Oryctolagus cuniculus: one gene and its partner. The protein of the gene in region 1 purifies or fractionates together with the protein of each later gene. This does not show direct contact. Links are inferred from orthologs where the notes say so. Each region holds a gene or a part of one and is shown on either strand. Other genes may lie near its edges.

Region 1 (3,804 bases):
CACCGTAAACTGTGTGAAAATCTGGTTCAACAATAAATAAGGAATTTAAAAAATATAGAAATGTCTTCCAATGGGGAAAAACATGGGCTACAGTACTGGGATGCGTTAGGGGCTAAAGCTCCTCTGAGTAGTGACATACTGAAGTGACAGTTTTCCTTGATGTGCCAGCAATCAGGTGAGGTGCTGAAGGTGACTGGAAAGCAGACTTCCCAAGGGAGATGAACAGGAACAGACGGACACAACTCTGGAGTTTTTTGATTGTCTGGGAATACGACAACTACAGCTGTTCGTGCGATAAGCTATTTATGTGTCAACATAAGGTATCAGATCCCTGCCCACCCTGAGAGGCTACTGTAGATGCTCCGCTGGAGGAGTTCAGGCGCTAGCTCACCAAGGTCCTCAAGGTTGTCCTGTCGCATGCTTGTGCCTCTCCTGTTCACACGCAGTGAATCTCACACTCCCAGGCTCCCTCCTCACCTAGACATGCTGTCTCCTTTCTGCAGCTCTAAAGCACTCCATAATCTACTCCAGTTTGGTTTCCTGCCCCACTACTCTATGGGAGCCAAGGTGACAACCTGAGGGCCTCCAAACTACAACATTCAGTGAGCTGTTTCTACTCCTCATCTTACCCCGCCCTCGCAGGAGCACCCTACACGGCAGATCACTCTTCCAAGGGACTCTGCGGCCCAACACATTCCTGATTCGCCTTCCCTTCGCTCTGAGCCTTATGTGCAGACATTTATATATGGTTTATAAACTAATCTCCAAAATCGCATCTCCAGTTCAGATCTTTCTGTTAAGCCCCTAATTTCCCTATTGAAATCTCTCGACCGGCTCAAAAGCATCTCAAAATGCAGGATGTTCACAGCCAAGTTCATGATTTTCCTCAAAAAACCCAATCTCTTTTCAGAATTCCCTTTGCAAACACATGGCACCCCATCTGCACAGATCTACAAGCCAGGAACTGAGAAGGGGGTATGTGACCCCTAACTCCCTGCCTCCACATCTTCATCTTGTTACTTACTTCCCAAATACGTCTACTGGTCACAAATTCCACCACATCCTGGTCCCTAGGCCACCATTATCTCTTATCTGGAATCCTTAAGAGTCTCTACACTGGGGCAGTGTTTTGATGTAATGGGTTAAGCTGCCACCTGCAATGCCGGCATCCCATATGGGTGCCGGTTTGAGCCCTGGCTGCTCCACTTCCGATCCAGTTCTCTGCCAACATGCCTGGGAAAGCAGCGGAAGATGGCCCAAGTGTTTGGGCCCCCTGCCATCCATGTGGGAGACCCGGATGAAGTGCCAGGCTCCCGGCTTGGACCTGGACCAGCCCAGCCCTGGCTGTTGCAGTCATTTGGGGAGGGAACCAGCAGATGGAAGATTTCTCTCTAACTCTGCCTTTCAAATGAATAAAATAAATCTTAAAAAAAATAAATAAATAAAAAGCCCCTACGCTGGTCTGACCATATCCATCCTTGTCTTGCTCCGATCTCATCCACATTACAGCCAGAGGGCGCTTTTTGAAACACAAATCTGATCTCGCTATGCCCTCTGATTCAAGCTTCTCCGTGGCTTCTCCAACCTTGTCTCGCCCACATCCTCCCTTCCACTCTGCCACTGTGGCTGCCCTGGCCATCTGCTCACCACGCTCTTCCTGCCACAGGGAGTTTGCGTACTGTCTGCTCTTCAGCTAAGTAATTCCTGCTCATCCTTCAATATTAACCCAAGAACAATTTCCTGACAAGCTCTGAACTATTTCCATTTCTAACCAACTGAAGTTTAAAGTACAAAGTTCCCTACCACATGGGTGTTTCACAGACTTCTCCACTGCCATGCTTATTATAGTCATAATTTTATGCTTGTGTGTTTGTTTCAGATGCCTGTGGCAGGAAATGTTTGTGCACCACTGTATAACCAGCACGTGGCAATAGCGGGAACAAGTAGGTGCTCACTATATTTAACGAATGTGGGCAATATCATAGACTAGGACACTTAGGAAGGCACACAATACCAAGTGTTCTTTACAACACAGCCTGCACTAGATGCATTTTGCAGTTCCTACTCAAACTGGGATTTCTGCAGGCTACATTGGAACTTAAGGGCAGACCACAGAGCCAGACTGCCTGGCTCTGCCATCTCTACGTCCCTGTGTCCTTATCGGCACAGTCAGTGTGAGGCCTAAATGCACTGATGAGTTTAAACAAACAAGAACACAGCCTGGTGTGAAGTTAAGTGCTGCACAAATACTAGTATTGTTATGCTTAGGAAAGCAATAAATAGTGACTAAACAACCTAACCTAGGACCTGAAACCAAAATTTGTCTTTATGGACCTTCCAGAACACAATGGACCTACAACAACCTTACGAAAACCCTGATGCAAAGTAAATAATCAGTATGCAGCACCCCAGATTGTGGTCAGAGCTAGATGCCGCCTTGCTTTCTTGATAGGCCATGCCCGGCTCTCAGTGATGATCAGAGACCCACTTCTGAGAGTCCACGGTCGCTCAGCCTAGCTCAGGATGTGCCACAGGGACTGTGACTTGTGGTTCTGTCAAGTGCACAGACATGCAGCTCAACTCTGCTAGAACACAGTAGCTAAAATGTTCAGACTGAGCATGCACACCCAGTGTTGGGCCACCACACAGCCACACACTGGGTTCTGTTTTCCAGATTCTGAGAGCAATGTTTCCACGGGCCACCTGCTCCACGACTGAGCAGCCACTGCTTGGTTCTTCCCAAAGCTCTCAGCCCTGCTGTGGGGCGGATCACTTACACTGAGGTCTGTCTTCTTGGCCAGGCAGTGGTATAAAACATAGAGAGACAGAAGCTGGGTGGATGGCGCGTCAAAGGCTTCTTGCAACATGACCTCAAAAACCACAGACAAAGCATCTGGCAAGGAGATGAAAGGAAAAAGGAGAGGAGATCAGCTGGAGGTAACATCAGCAAATTACACACTCTAAAAAAGTGGGGTGTGGTAGAATCATAAGAAGAATCAGGAAATAACAAATGCAGGCTCTGACCCTCCTTCCATTAACCAGGTCCTCCCATGCCTGCAGTGTCTACGATACAGCTCCAAACAGGCTAAATCTAGTGCTACTGCACCCGTGAGCTCGGGGACACTGGAGAAGCCACTTGGCTCCTGGCATCATCTTCCTAATGGTATTTGTCCCATCTGCTTCGAAAGATTTTTGGATAGTCCAACATGTGAAAATGTCTCAGAAACTATGAAGCAAATTTAAGGCACCATGTTCCTTGGCTAGAAGAGCTCCGGCACACAGAAAGGAAGTATGCCAATGTTCAAGGTCATCCTGACAAGCAGAGCGGAAAGGCTGCGCTAACTGGCCCATTCTCTGCTCTCCGTTGAGGCAGAGGAGGGAAAACATGCTAGAGGAGATTCTAAATCTCAGGGACTCGAAGACAGAAACCAATGGCTATAAAAAGGACAATACAATCTGGTTTGAAAGTCCTACAAGGACAAGGAAAACGCTCATTGTTGATGAGTGCAACATGCAGTGTAAGAGGTCTGCTTCCGCGGGAAGGCTGGTCATAGCAGAGCAGGCCTGAAGCAGTTCGTATTTTCCCCTGATATTCTACAGGATAAAAAGGAGCCAAGAGAATCAAGGTCAAACACTCGCCTTCCCTTAGTTATTGTTAAAGCAGAGAGTGGGAACACGGGTTTAAAATATAGCACAAATCCCATCACCTGCACATATCACAAGTACAACAAATGTTCCTGAGTTACTCAGGTTTTGCATATACTCAATTATAAGAGTTAGCATGGATGTGCAGCTGTTCCTAAC
Region 2 (4,350 bases), on another chromosome or scaffold:
ATCTGGGGAGTGAACCAGCCCATGGAGGATCTCTCTCTGTTTCTCTCTCTGTGTCTGTAACTCTGCCTTTCAAATAAGTAAATATTAAAATAAAAAAAAAAAAGTAAGTGTGGAGGAAGAGACCAGATACATACACAATTTTCTTTTGAAATCCCAGGGGTGTCATAGAACCAGTGGGCATCTTTCACGTCCTGTGGAGTCAATTCCACTCGCTTGGTGGATTTGTCTGGAGTCAGCACAGGTTCATTTTCCATGTCAAAGGCCAGTGAATCCGCATCAAACTCAAAGGCAGCTTCACCCTTCTGCTCCTTTGAATACAAGAATGTTCTTCCAACTCTTCCTAGAACACATTATACCGAGGTCATCAGTCAGTCCGTCAAAGCTTTTGACTCCAGACAACTTACGAAGGCTAACTTAGGTGTACAGAAGTGAGACAAGGTCTCTTTGATTTGTAGGAACAAATTAAAAGCAAACTTACTAATTCTATTTGGAAAACAGACCGAGAAATCATCTTCCTGCTGATTCACTTCCTAAATGAACTCAACAGCCGGGCCAGATGGAAGCGCAGCAGCCAAGCCGGGAACTCAGGCTGGGTCTCCCAGGAGGGTGGCAGGGACCCAAATACCCAGGACATCACCTGCTGCCTCCCGGGAAGCCGGAGCGCGAGCTTGCACACAGGAGTTGAACAGAGGCATTCTGATAGGGGACATGGCCGTCGTAACTACTGCATGAAACGCCTGTCCCCAGGGCAGCCGCTGCACGGAGTCACCAACATTTACCACGAGTATCGGTCTGGGGTTCCAGATGGAGGCAGCCTTGCCTTTAAAGAGACCAAGCAAGGCAGCCTCTCCCCGCAACAAGCGGCTGGCCCCAGGCCCCTGAATTTCGGGGAGAATTCCGGCATGGGACCAACAAGGGCTTTCCCCACAGGACGCTTACCCACTACGTATCCACGTCTTTTCAGGAGCCGGAGCCGATTCTGTTCCTGCTCACTGAGCTCCTCTTCAGCTTTGGCCGCGTCCTCTTTAAGTCTTTTTTGTCTTTCAAACATTCTGTAGGGAGTTGGGTTGCAGATGGGGAACTTGAGAAGGTTTAACGTAGTACCTGGAACACGGGGAAGGGAATAAGGGGAAGGAATGAGCGCTTCTGAGGATACGCGCTGTTGTGGGGTACGCTGCTTTCTCTCACGCAACCTCCACGCTAGCCCCCTAGAAATAGTCCCACTTCACGGAGGAGTCGTAAATAAGCCGATTGGCTCGCAAGCTTAACCAGGACTTGAATCCAAAATCCGTGTGCATGTCTGATTGCTGTTTTCAACATCACCAGGTAAAAAGCAACTGCGGAGAATTCAACTCCAGCGCAAGGCAGAAGACCAGCTCACTAAGCAAGGGTGAAGTCTGGCTTCAAGGGGACACAGGGCTGTCGCAGTGCGCTCTCCCAAGTCCAGCACAAACAGGGTCACAGACACAGGGACCCATTTTCCAAGCACGCAAGTTTCTTACCAAGTCACCACCCGCCCTTTCTTCCCCACGCACGCTCTGCACTACGGGTTATTCACGTGTTGTGCGTGGAGCACCCGCTGGCCTCACGCCGGGAGTCAAAGCCAGAGGACCCTACGAAGAAGCCAGCTCCAGGGACACGGCCAGAGCGCAGGGGCTTCGGCTCTGTTCCGGCCAGGGAGGCGCGAGACCCCCGCAGGGCTGCAAGGTTCCAGGGAAGGCGCCCGGCGGCGGGCACGGTGCGCCCGCTTCTCGCACTCACCCGGCCACGGCGAGATGGTGGCCTTGTCGATGGCCTCGGCGCCCTTGGCGGTGCAGTAGTCGGACTCCAGCAGCGTGTTGAACAGCGTGGACTTGCCGGCGTTGGTGGCGCCCACCAGGTAGACGTCGCCGCGGTAGCGCCAGGCGCGCTGCAGCGCCGAGATCAGCTCCTCCACCCCATAGCCGGTCTTGGCGCTGACCAGCCGCACGTCCCTGACCACCGTGCGGGACGCGCTCTGCTCCTCGTCCCCGCCGGCGCCGGGCTGCGGCCCTCGGTGGCCCGGCGCCGGCAGCAGCCCGGCGCGCACGCACTCGTCCCACAGCCGCTGGCGGAGCCGCCGCCGGTAGTCAGGCGCGTCCTGCGGCAGCAGGTCCACCTTGTTCCCCAGCACGATCAGCTGCTTGGGGCCCACCAGCGCGGGGAGGTGGCGCAGCAGCGGGTCGGGCAGGTCCAGCAGGTCCAGCAGGTAGAGCACCAGCGCGGGCCCGGGCCGCCGCAGCGCCGCGCTCACCTGCTGCAGGTACTGCGCGCGGCTCACGCGCAGCCGCAGGGCGCGCCGGTGGTGCACCAGCAGCCAGCAGCGCTGGCACACGGCGCGCGCCAGCTGGCCGTCCTGCGCGGCGCGGGCGAACTTCTCGCTGGGCAGGTAGCCGGGCACGCCGGGGTCCCGGCAGTGGAGCTCCGCCCCGCAGCCCGAGCAGGGCAGGCCGCTGGGCGGCACCGCCGGGTCCGGGCGGCCCGCGGCCGGGGGCGCGCGGAGGCTGGCCCGCGCCTGCCGCCGCTCCGCCCGGCGCCGCGCCTGCTCCTCCTGCTCCTGCTCCCGCTCCCGCAGCGCCCGCAGCAGCTCCTCAGGCGTCGGCGGGGGCTCCGGCTCCGGGGTGTACTCGGGGAACAGGAAACGCTCCTCGGTGTCGTCCCCGGGCGCGGCGGGGCCTTGAGGGAGCGCCCGCCGCAGGCCCGACGGGGGCTGGGAGGCGGCGGCGGCCGCGCATCCCGTCCGCAGCAGCCGCACCGCAGGCGCGGACCACCGCACCACGGGGCCCAGCAGCCTCCCCGCTAGGCGTGCGGGCAGCATGGGGATCGCGGCCCGCCGCGAGGGGGCGGAGCCACCACCGAGCACGCGCAGTGGGGCCCCAGGCGCCCGTTCTGCCCCAAACCCCGGAGGTGCGGCTTCCTTCCACCTCGAGATCCCGCGAGTTATCGCGATGAAAGCGTAGCGGGAAAGCCGCGGTATCAGCCTCCCTTGAGGGCACAGGTTCGAGTCCCGGCTGCTGCACTTGCAACCCGGCTCTCTGCTGGGGCCTCGGGAAGGCAGCAGAAGATGGCCCAAGTCCTTGAGGCCCCTGCACCCACGTCGGGGACCGGGAGGAAGTTCCTGGCTTCAGCTCCGCGGTTGTTGCGGCCACCTGGGGGAGTGAACTAGCGGTCGGAGGACCTCTCTGCCTCGTTGTAAATCTGCCTCTCAAATAAATAAATAAATCTTTCTTCAAGCTTTCTCAAGGCGCTACGGCCAGCACAAGTCGCACTTAATCCCTTTTAGTTTTGTGGCTTCCTGGTCTTTGGAGTGCAAACAATACAGCCTTAAACCTGCGAGCTCACGCCACGGCCAGAACCGCTAACAAATTCACTTGGATTTTTTTCAGGCGGGGTTTGTTCAACGTGAAGCAGCTGTAGAGCCGCCCCTCCGCCTCGGACTGGTCGCGCCCCGGCTCAGCCGCGCCCGAGCGACCCCGAGCCCAGCCCGCCCTATGCTTCAACTGGCGCAGGCGCAGATCCCACCTCGGCGACGGTGGGGCGGGCCTTCGGGGACGCAGAGAATTGTGGGAACACCGGAACCGGAAGTTGCTTCGTCTCTGCCTGCGGCCCTGTGGCGGCTGCTACGCGGTTTTCTGTCTCAGTGGTTTTTCTTTTTGAGGGTTAGGATCTCCTGGACCGTTTGCCAACATGTACGACGCGGACGAGGGTAGGTGACCATGCAACGCAGACTCCGCGGCGGGAAAATGGGGGAGCTGGACGGCTTTGCGTCCGCCGCCCGGAGACCCCCGCGGTGTACCCCCGCCACCCCCGGGCCGCGGTCCGAGCTGGGCGTGCGGGAAGTGGCGGCGCGGGGGATGCGCGCGTGCAGGCTCCTGGCCGGCTGTGTTCGTCCCGTGGTGGAGTGGCGTGCGGAACCGTAGGCAGATGGCGTTGTTCCGGCTCGGGGGCGTCCCGACGGTCCTCGGGTCCCCGGGCCACCGATGGACGGAGTGGCGCTGGCCATCCGTTAGGTTGTGTGCTGGGCCCTGGGAGCACGGCGGCCGCGGGTGGCCCTCCTCCGTGCAGTCCTAAACCTCGGGGAATTGTCTCGAAGGTGTCCTTGGAACTGACTGCGCCCCAGAGGGACGCGCGGCCGCCAGAGAGGTGTTCTGGCTCCCAGTCCCGTAGCCCCCCTGGCATCCCACCCGCTCGCCTCCGCTGCCTCTCGGAGGAAGCAGAAGCGCAGGCTTAGCGTCTCAGCGCCGGGGCTCATCGGACCCACCAGCTGTCCGGTTTGAACCGCGTCCACGCAGGTAGCTGCTGGTACAGATTCTCCTGCTCCAAGGTTTCTTT

Evidence for each region.
Region 2: the proteins of MRPS27 (region 1) and NOA1 purify together in Homo sapiens (co-immunoprecipitation; 3 studies listed by BioGRID and IntAct, counting the BioPlex papers as one, with this or other methods). This does not show direct contact. The link is inferred for Oryctolagus cuniculus from reciprocal best matches to the Homo sapiens genes MRPS27 and NOA1.

What each region holds. Positions count from the first base shown.
Region 1 is NC_091445.1:38,743,552-38,747,355, reverse strand, and holds part of MRPS27 (small ribosomal subunit protein mS27), read right to left. Parts: intron 2,894-3,804; coding exon 2,778-2,893; intron 1-2,777. UniProt on the Homo sapiens protein: RNA-binding component of the mitochondrial small ribosomal subunit (mt-SSU) that plays a role in mitochondrial protein synthesis. Stimulates mitochondrial mRNA translation of subunit components of the mitochondrial electron transport chain.
Region 2 is NC_091439.1:107,686,729-107,691,078, reverse strand, and holds the start of NOA1 (nitric oxide-associated protein 1), read right to left. Parts: upstream 2,880-4,350; 5' UTR 2,837-2,879; coding exon 1,762-2,836; intron 1,105-1,761; coding exon 940-1,104; intron 341-939; coding exon 135-340; intron 1-134. Other genes in the region: POLR2B (DNA-directed RNA polymerase II subunit RPB2), read left to right, coding at 3,706-3,724. UniProt on the Homo sapiens protein: Involved in regulation of mitochondrial protein translation and respiration. Plays a role in mitochondria-mediated cell death. May act as a scaffolding protein or stabilizer of respiratory chain supercomplexes. Binds GTP.